Linked DNA regions of Canis lupus familiaris. The protein of the gene in region 3 interacts with the protein of the main gene of each other region in a pairwise test. Links are inferred from orthologs where the notes say so. Each region holds a gene or a part of one and is shown on either strand. Other genes may lie near its edges. The genes, in order: SLC25A46, TTLL10 and FHL3.

Region 1 (4,125 bases), on a different chromosome or scaffold from region 3:
CTGTATCCTTTCTTCATTGATATGGGATGTGAAATTGTGAAATGTTATTTTTATTAGAAGTGCGCGCGCACACACACACACAGCTGCCTTTTCCTCCTTCTCCTTTTAAAAGTTTTGGACCTGGGCCTGTGGCATCTTTAATTCAATCGTTTGTAAGGAACAGAGATATACTTTGCCTCACCAGGGGGCACAACTGGTTAGAAGTTAGTCGCCCAGTAGATCGGTCTGGGCTCCTGCGCTCCTGGGCAGCCCTAGGGCCTCGCCCAAGAGCCAGGCCGCCTAGCAGCCCAGGCGGTGGAGGCACCACCTGCAGGAAAGGGTGGCGTCGGGGTAGTGGGGGGCTCCGCTCACAGGGCCTCCCAGTTGTCCCCCGCGAGCCTCAATTTTCAACAGGATCATTGGGCTTTACATACACGGACTGATTTAGATGCACCCGGAAAAAAAGAAAGAAACCCGTTTGCAACTGTATTGTGGCCTTCGGGAAGCAACATGCTCGACTCCCCCCGTCCGGCGAGCAGTTTGTGCCGGGAGAGCCGACGGGGAAGGGGTTCCCTCCACCTAGGCCTCGACGGCCCCCCTACGGGCAGGACGCGGGGCGGGGCTGCACCGAGGCCAACAGCCCGCAACGCTAACGCCTGCGCGCTCCTGCACGCCCCCTGCAAGCTCCCAGCGAGCCAGCTGCGCACCCCCTGGGCGCTCCCTGAGCTCCCAGCGAACTCCCCGCCCGCCCCCTGCACGCCCCCTGAGAGCTCCATGCACGCCCCTCGCGCGCCCCCTGCACGCCCCCTGCGAACTCCCCGCGCGCCCCCCGCACGCCCCCTGCGCGCTCCCTGAGAGCCCCCTGCGCGCTCCCTGCACGCCCCCTGAGAGCTCCCTGCACGCCCCTCGCGCGCCCCCCGCACGCCCCCTGCGCGCTCCCTGAGAGCTCCCTGCACGCCCCTCGCGCGCCCCCTGCGCGTCCCCTGCACGCCCCCTGCGAACTCCCCGCGCGCCCCCTGCGGCCCTGCGCGCTCCCTGCGCGCTCCCTGCACGCCCCCTGCGAACTCCCTGCGCGCCCCGAGAGCTACCCGCGCACCTCCTGCGCCCTCCCCGCGCGCCCCCTGCACATTCCGAGAGCTCCGAGAGCTCCCTGCGCGCTCCCCCGCGCGACCCCTGCGCGCTCCCCGTGTGGGCCTCGGCGGCCGGGCCGGCCCGGAGTCAGCGGCACCGGCGCGTCCCGTGCCTCCGCGGACCGTGCGCAGCCAGCTTCCAGGCGGCCCGGGCCTCCGGCAGCTCGTCGGCACCCGCCCCCCAGGCCCGCGGCCCCTCCGCCGCCCCCCGCGAGCAGCCCCGGCCTGGCGGCTCCGCCCTAAGCTGCCGCCGCGTCTCCCTGGCAACCCCGTCCCGCGAGCGCCGGAAGACGCTGCGGTCACGTGGCCGGCGCACTTCCGGGTGGGCGCCGTGACTTCCGGTTGTCAGATTTCCCCGGACGCGGCGGCGGCGCGGTGTGGCCCGAGGTCGCGGCGGCCCCAGCGGCGGCTCGGGGGGGCGTCACCCTGCCGGCTCGCGATGCACCCGCGGCGCCCGGATGGCTTCGACGGCTTGGGCTACCGGGGCGGGGCCCGGGACGAGCAGGCTGTGGGCGGCGCCTTCCCCGCGCGGCCCTTCGGCTCGGCGTCCGACCCGACCCACTGGGTGACCAGCCCCCCGGACATCCCCGGGAGCCGCAACCTGCACTGGGCCGACCGGAGCCCGCCCTACGGCGCGCCCGGGCCCTCCACGCCGCTCGACGGCCCCGAACAGCCGTGTCCCGGAGGCGGCGGCGGCGGGGCGCCAGGGCGGAGCAGCGGTGAGGGCCGCGGGGGGCGGGGGAGGGAGGGGGAGGGGAGGGGAGGGGAAGCAGCGGTGAGGGCCGCGGGGGGGTGGGGAGGGGGCTGGGGGGAGCCCGGCTCGCAGCCTGCACACCGCGCGGGGCGCCGACGGTCGGTCCCGCCTCCCACGCCCTCTGCCCCCGTCCGTCCGTCCGTCCCCTCCTGTGTCCCCTCCTGTCCCCGCCCATTCCCTCTCGTCCCCTCCCCCTCCAGTTCGCCCTCATCCCCTCCGGTCCCTTCGCCCCGTCCCCTCCCGTCCCCTGTCCCCCCTCCTGTCCCCCATTCCCCTCCATCCCCCCGTCCCTCTCCAGTCCCCTTTCCCGACCCTCCCCTTTCTCCCTCCGTTCTCTCCCAGTCCCCTCTCCGTCCCTTCCCCCATCCCGTTCCCTGTCCCCCCATCCCCTCCCGTCCCTCCCCCCGTCCCTATTCCATCTCCTGACACCCCTCCCGTCCCCCTCCATCCCCTCCTCCCGTCTCCTATCCCACCCCCTCTTCACCTCTCCCGACCCTTCCCTTTCCCCCTCTGTCCCCTCCCAGTCCCCCCTGTTCTCCGTCCCTTCCCCCATCCTGTTCCCTGTCCCCACCTCCCGTCCCTCCCCCTTCCCCCCTCCCATTCTCTGTCCCCCCTCCTCCGCCCCCCGTCCCCTGCCATCCCCTCTCCCATCCTCCTCCATCCCCTCCCCCGTCCCCTGTCCCACCCCTCATCCCTCTCCCGTTCCCTCTCCCGACCCTCCCCTTTCCCCCTCCGTCCCCTTCCCCCGTGCTTTCTCCCCTCCCGTTCCCTGTTCTCTCCTCCGTCTCTCATCCCCTCCTGTTCCCCCTCCCATCTCCTGTCGCCCCCGGTCCCCCTCCTCCGCCTCCTCCCCTGCCCCGTCCCCCTCCATCGCCCCCCCCCGTCCGTCCCTCTCCCACCCACCCCCCAGTCGGTCTCCCGACCCTCCCTTTTCCCCCTCCGCCCCCTTCTCGTCCCCCTCCCATCCCGTTCCCTGTCCCCTCTCCCTCTCTCATCCCCTCGCGTTCCCCCTCCTGTCCTTCCCCCGTCTCCCCTCCCATCTCCTGTGCCCCCTCCCCCTCCTCCACCCCTGCGTCCCTCTGTCCCCCCTCCCGTCTACCCTCCTCCGCCCCCCCTCCGTCCGCCGCTCCGTCGTCCCTTCCCTGCAGCGCCGCTTCCTCCCCGCCCCACCCACAGCCCTCTCCTCCCGGGTGCTGTCAGGGAGGCTGGTGGTGGGAGGTCCCCGGGCCTCCATCCGGAGGGAGGAGATCGGGCTACTACCTGCTGCTTCCTGGGGAACGTGAGCGATACCTGGTTCCCTGCGCTCCCTGCCTTGACCTGCTGCCGAGCTCTGCATCTGTGCATCTGTGCTGGAGAGTCAGCCTCGGCAGCCCTGCTGCGAGCCCGGCTCTGCCTCCCTGGGAAGCGGAGGCCTTTTCTTGGCGTCTGGAGCCCTTAAGGTGGAGAGAAGAGTCATTCACAGCGCCAGGTGCTCATGAGCTGTGGTGGAGGCTTAGTAAGCCGGACCTACCCGGTTCCTTCCTTTTCTCTTAGTCTTAGCAATTGTATCTGTTTCCTAGACTCTCACACGCCCCCTCCGTGTTCCCATCCCCTGCTTTCCTATTTCTCACCTAGAAACACCACCAAAGAGTAAACAATTTCAAGACTTTGGAATCAAGGCGTAGTTATTCGCCCTGGGACGTCAGGAAGCCTGGGTTTTCATTGCAACGCTGTCGTCTAAACACTCTCAACTTTTTAAAATTCATAAAATGGGAATAATCACTGCCTCTTCCCATTTTGAAGTCATTAGACTCGACCATTCAATATTAAGTATATTCTCGACATGTTCGTTCTTCATTTTAACTTGGAAGTACAGTGATTTTTATTTGATTTGAGTCAACTGGGAGGCGTAGACTTTAAATATCACATAGGAGCAAACGAGGATGTGGAAGAGGATGCGTAACTTAGTGTCAGACACTTTGCTTTTCCACCCTGTCTGCTTTTCTTTCTGTAAGGTTCCAAAAGGAGTCCTGGAAGGTTATTAAATAATTCAAAATGCTCGTGCACACAGTTACTTTCTTAGGCAGCAAAGCTGATTTTTATCTTTTTATGATTTACACGGTTAAAATGAGGCATTTTCTGTTAATACTATGATCTGTATACTCAAAAAGGGAAAAGCTGAAAGGAGGAAAGCATGTTAATTGACAGAAGAAGCTTCTATCTGGCCTGTGCATTTTCCAAAGCAAGAGTTAACAAAATAGTTTCCCCAGACACCTGTTTACA
Region 2 (4,025 bases), on a different chromosome or scaffold from region 3:
TACTGTCTGGTAATGCCGTTCATCCATGGCCTGACCACCGCCGAGGAGGAGCCCCTGCGGGGACACCAGGGGGAGGACGAGGCCTGTGGGCCCGCTCGTGGCTGAGCCAGGCGGTGCACACCTGCCCAGGCCCGGGGCCCCTGTGTCCCCTGCAGGGCACAGGTCAGGCAGGGTCCTCCCCAGCCGCTGTGACCCAGGCCATGACCCAGACCAGGGAGCCCTTCCCAGGCTTTGGCCTTTCTGTCATAGCCATGACGGATTCTCTGCATAATAAAGGGTGTGAGGTATGGAGGTGGCTGGCTTCTCTTCCTCTCAGGTGTGTGGGTGAGTGGGGCTGCAGGGTCCAGCGGCCCCACCCTGAGGGTCTGCCAGCAGGTGAGGCAGACACCGTACTGTGCTGTCGGCACTGCCCTGAAGCCAGAAACCAGCCCAGGGGCCATAGTCAGTCACTCTCCTGGAGCCCCGCCTAGAGCCCTCTCCAGGGAAGTGACCTCACCCCTCACCCCTCTACACACCTGAGCCCGGCAGAGCGGGGCCTGAGGACGACAAGACCAAAGCAGCCCCAGATCTTCAAACTTCCAACCCAGGGCAAGGCAGGGCATGCAGAGCCAGCAGCGCACCCATGCTCTGCCCCTCGCCCCAGGCAGCACCAGGACACTGCAGACTGCTGGCGCAGAGACCCCCTGGATAAGACCCTACCCCTCTGCCTAGAGCAAGAAGCTCGGGGAAAGGGTGAGATGGGTAGTGGAGGGGGTGCAGGCCACCTTTGCTTCTTCTACAGCCTTAGCCCAGGGCCCCACCCGGTCCCCACAGGCCCATCTCCAGAGCTTAGGGAGCACCCTCCGGGTGCCAGACCATCACCATGGGGGTCGAAGGGCAGGCAGCCCTTAATCTTGGGCTCCCACCCTGAAGCCCCCTCCCTGCTCCCCTCTCCTCTACCCACTAGGTACTCATGCACATGTCCCCTGTCTAAAGTAATCCTCAAACCAAACTTCTGGATGCTAATCCATCCTCAGCCTCAGGGCTGACCCCTAAAGCCCCTTCCTTCCCTTAAGAATTCTAATTAGGTCCTAGGGTCTACGTCTGGCCCAAGTGCTCAGCAGCCAGAGTCGAGGAGGAGGGGACCTCTGGGGACTCTGGGGAAGCTCCTCCCCACCTTCTCTCCTTCCATTACCAAATCTCTCCTGAGAACCTTTTGCAGATTCGCACAATCCTGCATACTGTGGGGAAGAGGAACATGCCTGAGAAGGAGGGGCAATGGTGATGAGGCTGGGAGGCAGGGCCTGTCAACTAGGAGGGCTGCCTGGGCAGTCAAGAAGGTGGTGCTTGGGTGGGGGAGTGGGGTTACAGTGGCCCAGGAAGGCCTCTAGGAGCAGATGTCCAAGAGGGCCATGCAGACACCTGCAGGAGCCAAGCAGAAGTACCAGAGGCCAGGGGCTGCACGCCATCAGACAGGAGGACTTCCAGGCCCAGTGTCCAGGTGGCACAGCCTGGTCCCAGCAAAGTCACCAACTACACAACCAGGCAGGAAGTGGCTGGGCCGTTCCCCTGCACCCCCAGCCCTGCAGGAAGGGCTCGGCCCCCAGCCTGGAGGCCCTGGGCTGCCCACTTGCCCCATGGCAAGTTAATGATTCCCCTGCTTCGCTCCAGGGTGCAGATGCGCAGTGACGTGCCCAGCCCCAGGCCATTATCATCATGAGAAAGGCTGGGGCGGCGCCCACACCATCCAGTTGGACAGGTTATGAGGCAGGGTTTTGGAGTTCAAGATCTTGTGTCGGCAAAGGCTGGGGACCCAGGGTGGTGGGCTGGCCCAGCCTGGGTGCCTCCAAGGGGCCTGGGCCCCCAGAGTTGATATGGGGAGGGAGCACAGATTCTGGAGGGGGTTCTGTGCTCAGGCCACCAAGAAGACCAGGGGCCCCACTCCCCATACCCACCGCTGCCCCAGCAGGCCCAGGCTGGGGGCTTGGCTGGATGAGCTCTCTGACATCCAGGCTGATGCACGGCCACCTCAGGGCAGAGTCAGAGACCATAGTCCAGCAGGACGGACCCCTGGAGCCCCCAGCACTGGCACAAACAGGCAAGGAGCCTGGGGGTGCATCAGCCTCTGTGTGGAGTCAGAGAGGCCTCGCCATTGTGGGGGTCATCCACAGGACCTCAAAAGGAGCAGTTTAAGGGATATGTTTGTCTCCTGGGGCCATGTGACCAATAACCACAGACGGGGGGCTTGAAATCACAGAAATGTATTCTCTCACAGTCCAGGAGGCACAAGTCAGAGATGCAGGTGGGGGCGGGGGGCACTCTCTCCCATCTCTAGGGGACACCCCCTCCTGCCCTTCCAGCCTCCCTGGGCTGTGGCCACACCAGCCCCTGCTCCCGTCTTCACGTGGTTTCTCCCGGGTCTCCTCTCTCTTTCTCCCTCTTGTGAGGATGCAGGGCCTCCAGCTAATCCAGGAGGATCTCCCTTCAAGATCCTTGACCACATCAGCAAATACCCTTTTTCCAAGTAAGGTCACATCTGCAGGTTCTGGGGCTTCAGACATGGGCTCATTTGGGGGCCACCCTCCAGCCCCACAAGTTAGGGTACCATAGGCAGACACAGCCTTGAGACCCACAGGACACTCTGAGGGTAATGAGGCTGTGTGACCGGAGGGCTGACACTACACAGGAGAGGCTGTAGTGACAGGAGATGAAAGAGCACAGGGTCAGGTCCTGGGGTCCTACCATGGATTTGGGGGTCTTCGGAAGGCTGCGGGGTGCTCCTGTGGAGGACCCAAGGCCCAGGTGGGGACCATGCACACCATGGCTCTGGCTCTGGCCAAGCCCCATCCTCCCTCCCTCCCACAGCCCCCTGCCCAGCTCCCCTCAGAGCCTGGCCTCCTGTGCCTGCCCTGCTCCCCTCACCTCTGGGCCACAGGGTTGCTGTTGCCCAGAGACTGTTGCCAGGCCACCACTGTTGTTCCCCCGGCAGAGGACTCACACCACTTTGCTGGGCAGGTAAGAGGGAGAGGTGGGCCAGCGGCGCGAGTCCTTGCTGGGCGTGAGGGCCGTGGCCACCGTCCTGTGCACCCTCTCCACCGGAGACCCCGTGGGTTCTCTCAGGACTCTGCCCAGGAGCAGAAGGGAGATGAAGGAGGGTCAGGAGAGGGGAGTCCTGACTGAGATGAGCCCCCTCTGGGGGCGACCCACACCCCCAGAGCTGCTGCATGAGGATCACGAGCCCTCGGGCCAGGCCGAGAGGAGTGCACCTTCTGGGGGTGGTGGCTCCTCAGGACGAGCCCCCTTGCCCAGAACTAGGTCTGTCTTCCCGGACCAGCCCCACACAGGCCGCCCTCCCAGAGAGTCCACCCCCAGCCAGGAGGCCCCAACCCACCCAACAGTGTCAGCACCTCCCAGCACCTATGACGGCACTCGTGTGTCTGAGGAGAAGACGCAGGCAGGACCCTGACATCTCCTTTGCTTGGACATGTTCTGCAGGTTCACCGGGGTCTTCCTTTCATCACACCAGGGTGCTGCTTCCTGCCGGTCTTTTTACCTCACCAGGTAAAAAGTTTATTTCAAAATTTACTGTAGAGTCGAGCTGTCCCCTGCCCCCGGCAGTGCGGTCCCTGCTTCCACAGCCCTGTCTTGTCTGGTGGCCATCCTTCACCCGTGGGATCAACGCATGCCCTCAACGTCTCTGACCACAAAGCTTTGTCTCTGTATTTAGAATTATGTCCAGAGAAACCCTGAAAAGTGCAAGCGCTAAGGCAGAAGGCTCACGGAGCCGGGAGGTCTGACACCCGCACCACATGCCCACCTGTCACTCCACCAGCCTTGTGCAGACACCACAATGCACCGCCTGCGTGCCCACCCACAGTCCCTTTTTCTGCCCTTAATCTCTGTTAACTTCAATGACAAGAAACAATAACTCATGGCTTACTTCTCTGTGAAAGTAATAAACCTAGGTTTTCCCACTAGCAGCAGAGCACTCCTATGAAGGCTTTCGTAAGCTGAGATGGCGCAAAGCAAAAAGCCAAGTGCCATTA
Region 3 (4,125 bases):
GCCTCGACGGTGACTTGGGATCCGGGAAGACAGGAATATGATTTAGAGATGGGAGAGGAAGGTATTCAGGAGGCCTGGCCTGGGAGCAAATGAGTCTCTGTTCTGAGAGCTTGGCTAGACCCAGCCTGGGGGATGGGAGAAGCCCTGTGGCACCTGAGTCTCTACTCTAGATGCTGAGGTTATTTCTAGAGTCAGTTTGTTGTCTCCTGTTTTGCAAACAGTACAGCACAGCCTCCTCCTCCCTTCCCCACCCTTCTAGATCGAGGCTATTTATGCCTAGTGACAAGCCTGAGGATCCCAGGGGGATTGGCCCAAGGACCTGGAGGGGCCTTGTGTCCCTGGCAGGCAGCAGTCCTCCCTCCTGGGGCGCAGGGAGAAAGCCAGAGGATTGGAAACTGTAGAGGTGGGGGAGGAAGGGTTCCCTCCACTTCCCTCCACCAACCCTGCGGTGCCCCATCCGCGCACACTCTTCACACCCCTCCCTGAGAAACCCAAAAACCATGGGGCCAAGGATTAGGGTCTCCCCTGGGCCTCAAAGGTCATAACTATTCCTGGGCACTGTGGAAACCCAAGGCCGAACTTCTCTGTCCCAGGGTGCCTCCGGAGGTGAGGAGGTGGGGGGTACTTCTGTTTTTGCCACTCAAAAGTTGTGAAATCATTGAAGGTCAAGGCCCAGTCTGGGGTCAGGCGGAGGCGGAGGTGGGGGGGTCCCTTCTTCACTCCCTGTTTCCAGAGAACACCTTGGTTCCCATTGATAGGGAGGGCCGTGACAGCAGAGTCAAGCCACCTCACACACACACACTCCCGGGCCTCCAGGCTTGATTAAGGCCCCTTTACAAGCTGGGTCTAGGTGTGACCCTGAGGGGATGAGCTGGAAGGTGGGAGTGGGGGCGCACGAAGAGGCCATGAGTGAGGACCCCAGGGGACTTGGGTGGGCTGGGTGCCGGCCCCCGTGCTGGAGATCGAGTGCAGCAGGCCGTCTCCAGCGGGCTGCTGGGGGGTGCAGGGGGTGCAGCAGGGGAGGGGACGGCGGAGGCGAGCAGGGGACGGGGGCGGGGTCCCGGCGCCGGGGAAGGTCGGGCGAGCCAGGTTAGACCCGCGGGCCCGAGGGGGGGTGTGGGCGGGGTCTGGCCCCCGGCCTGGGGGTGCGGGGCGGGGGCGGCCGGGGGCGGGGTCCGGGCGGGGCGGGCCCGGCGCGCACTTCCTCGGGGAGGGGTTGGGGCCGCGCTCCACTCGCCCGCTGGGTCCGTGCGCTCCGGCAGCGCCGCCGGCCGCCCGCTCGCCCCGCTCGCCCCGCTCGCCCCGCCCGCCCCGCCCGGCCCCGCTCGCCCGGCCCGCAGGTACGAGCCACCGAGGGACGCGCGGCCCGGCCTCCCCGCTCCCGCCGCCCGCTCCGAGGTGAGCTCCCGCCCAGGCCGGCTCCTCGCCCGGGGCCCCCCGACGCCCCGGGGGGCGCGCTTGGAGCGGGGGGCGCCGAGCCCCGGAGGGCGCCCCCCCACCCCCGGGACCGCCCCGATCCCGGCCGCCCGGCGGGGTGGGGGGGGCTGCTCGACACCTGGGGATGGGGGGGGAAGGGGCCAAGTTTGAAACGGAGAAGCCAGAGTCGAGCGCGGGACCTGGAGGGTTGGGGAAACTGAGGCTCCCTGAAAGCCGGGCGGAGCCAGACCAAGACGCGGGCCCGCGCGGCAGGCTTGGACAGGGGGCTGCACGGGGACCCGAGTCAGGGAGTCAGGGACAGGTTCTGGGGGCGTAGAGTCCCCGAGAGGGAGACCGGAGGCGTCTGGACGGACCTAGGTTTTGTGGGTTGGAGCACTCGAAGGAGAAGCGTCCCCTGACCCCGGTGAACACGGAGCAGCGCCCTTCCCAGGGCTTTGCAGGGTCCCGGGCGGTGAGGGGCCCCGAAGCCTAAGCTTCCTTAGCCCTGTGGCAGATCAGCCTCTGTGAGGCCTATGGAGCCGTCCAGAAACTGCAGACAGGGACGCTCAGGAACAGAGGTGCTCCGAGGAGGAAGCGAAGGGGTCGGGGTGGGAACCCCTTGGAGGCACTCAGTTACGGAGATTTGGGTGTACAGAGGTAGAAATGAGCAGAGGTCACTAGCCCGGGACACAGGTCCCCAAAACACGAAGACAGCTGAGGTGTGCAGAGGCTCAGTCGCGCTGCGTGGGGCGCAGCTGGCTTTGCTCGAGGCGCCCTGACAGCTTCCCAGACAGACCCCGAGACACGGAGGCCTGAGAAAGACTGGGAAGCAGGGGTGCGGGGAAACAGAGACTCTGGGCCAGCCAGAGCCCCGTGAGGCAAGGACCTGAGACAGGCACGTCGGAAAGGAGCCCCAGGCACACACCAAGACAGCCCCAACTTATTTTTAAACTCAAATCATGGACATGCTGCTTCAGCCCTGGGGGACCCGGGGTGAATGAACTGTTCCTCTCCTGTCCCCAAGGCAGCTGCTGGATCCCGCTTCCCGCCCTCCTTCCCCTAAACTGCTCTGACTCCCAGGCCCCATGGCGGGGAGGGGTGGGGAGAGGGAGAGTTTGGGGTTGGTGCCTGATACCGGAGGTTGGGGGCTGGGGGGGGTTAGGTTTCTCCCCTTAAATCTCCTGTCAGTTCCTGGGAGCTGGGAGGAGGGGTCTGATCTGATCCTGACTCACAGCTGTGAGGCCTGGCCAGGGTCCTCCCCGACAGTGCAGGGTGGATGGGGGCAAAGGAGTTGAACGGTTGGCATGGGCAGTTGGAAAGGCTTCTGGGTGCCTTCCAATGGCAGGGTTAGCAGCTGGGGGAGAAGAGTGAGACTCCTGTGCTAGTGATGTCACCGAGTATCTCCCACACCCCTGCTCTTAAAATGTTGACCACCCCGTTTTGCCACCGCTGCAGCATTTTTAGAGAGAAAAACAGGAAAGGGCTCCAGGCTGGGAAGCAGGGAACCTGGGCTCTCCGAGGCCTGAGTGACCTTGGGCCTGGCTTGTCCCTGTGCTCGACTGTAAGATGGGAATGACATGCTCTTCTGCCTGCCTTTTGGGAGATCTGGTGAAATAGTGGATGGGATTTCTCTTTATGGGAGGCCAAGCAGCATGCAGGTGTGTACACCTGTGTACCTGTGTGAGGGGTCTCAGGAGTTATGCTCATTGGCACCAGGCCGGCCCCACTGATCTCCTCAGGCAGCCCCACGGCCTGGGCTTCTTCACTTCCCCTAGTGGAACTGGGGAGTGGGGGTGGGGGTCCCTCTTTGGTCTATCCCTGAATCTACCCTGAGAATGTCCAGGTCAAAACCCAGGCCAGCTCCCTGAGCCAGGCCTGGCTCAGAAATTTGTCTGACCCCCGTATGAGTGAGGGGCTGATCATAAAAACGCCCACAGCTACCATTCACTGAGGAGTCCCTTTCTGCCAGGTGCTTTCCAAGCACCACCATTTCAGCCTGACGACAACCCCGGGAGAAGGGGGTAGGCGTAGAGGAAAACAGGCCCAGGAACCTTAAGTGACTTGCCCAAGATCACCCAGCTAGTAAGGGAAGAAGTCAGGATGCCCACCCCAAGCCACATTTGGGCCTACTATACACTGTGCCACAGCCATTTATCTAGCCATTCTAACCTCTGGGAGGCTCACTGGAAGGTGCCAGATGTGTGTGTCAGGTGTAGGGGTGGTGTGTGTGTGAGTGTGTGTTTGTGTGTGTGTTGAGGACAAGAGTTGAGAGCCATTTGGCAGACTGAGCAGTCTCCTCCGTAACCCCCCCTCCCCAGGCCATGAGGGAATATAAGACTGGTTCTCTTCAGTTCTCTTGCTGTGCCAGGGAAAGTGGGAGGGAGGGGAGGAAGGGGGATGGGCAGGGACAGGTGGGTCTCCATAGTGCCCTTCACTCTGTCCTCATTAGAGCCCAGCTGGACAAACTAGGGGACTGGGGGATTCTGGGAAAGAAACAGAAGCCATGCCCATACCCTATTTGGGGTGCCCCTGTTTCAGAGTGATGACTGCCTCCCAGAGGGTGGCCCCAGGGCTACCCTGGGCCCGGGAAGGTGATGGCTGCTGTGTGCCAAGCCAGAAAGGAAGGAAAAGATTTGGGGCACTCCCCAACGGACCACGGCCACACACTCCACCTGTGTGGCCCCCTGCTGCCCAGTGGCCCACAGCCCA

Evidence for each region.
Region 1: the proteins of FHL3 (region 3) and SLC25A46 interact in binary tests that used the Homo sapiens proteins (3 or more experiments, as listed by UniProt). The two-hybrid records come from large-scale screens. The link is inferred for Canis lupus familiaris from reciprocal best matches to the Homo sapiens genes FHL3 and SLC25A46.
Region 2: the proteins of FHL3 (region 3) and TTLL10 interact in binary tests that used the Homo sapiens proteins (3 or more experiments, as listed by UniProt). The two-hybrid records come from large-scale screens. The link is inferred for Canis lupus familiaris from reciprocal best matches to the Homo sapiens genes FHL3 and TTLL10.

What each region holds. Positions count from the first base shown.
Region 1 is NC_049224.1:1,725,329-1,729,453, reverse strand, and holds the start of SLC25A46 (solute carrier family 25 member 46), read left to right. Parts: upstream 1-1,476; 5' UTR 1,477-1,548; coding exon 1,549-1,828; intron 1,829-4,125. UniProt on the Homo sapiens protein: Transmembrane protein of the mitochondrial outer membrane that controls mitochondrial organization.
Region 2 is NC_049226.1:56,846,479-56,850,503, forward strand, and holds part of TTLL10 (inactive polyglycylase TTLL10), read left to right. Parts: exon of another isoform or gene 1-30; intron 31-2,844; coding exon 2,845-2,994; intron 2,995-3,091; exon of another isoform or gene 3,092-3,124; coding exon of another isoform or gene 3,125-3,294; intron 3,295-3,474; coding exon 3,475-3,540; intron 3,541-4,025. UniProt on the Homo sapiens protein: Inactive polyglycylase.
Region 3 is NC_049236.1:4,653,482-4,657,606, forward strand, and holds the start of FHL3 (four and a half LIM domains protein 3), read left to right. Parts: upstream 1-1,311; 5' UTR 1,312-1,398; intron 1,399-4,125. UniProt on the Homo sapiens protein: Recruited by SOX15 to FOXK1 promoters where it acts as a transcriptional coactivator of FOXK1.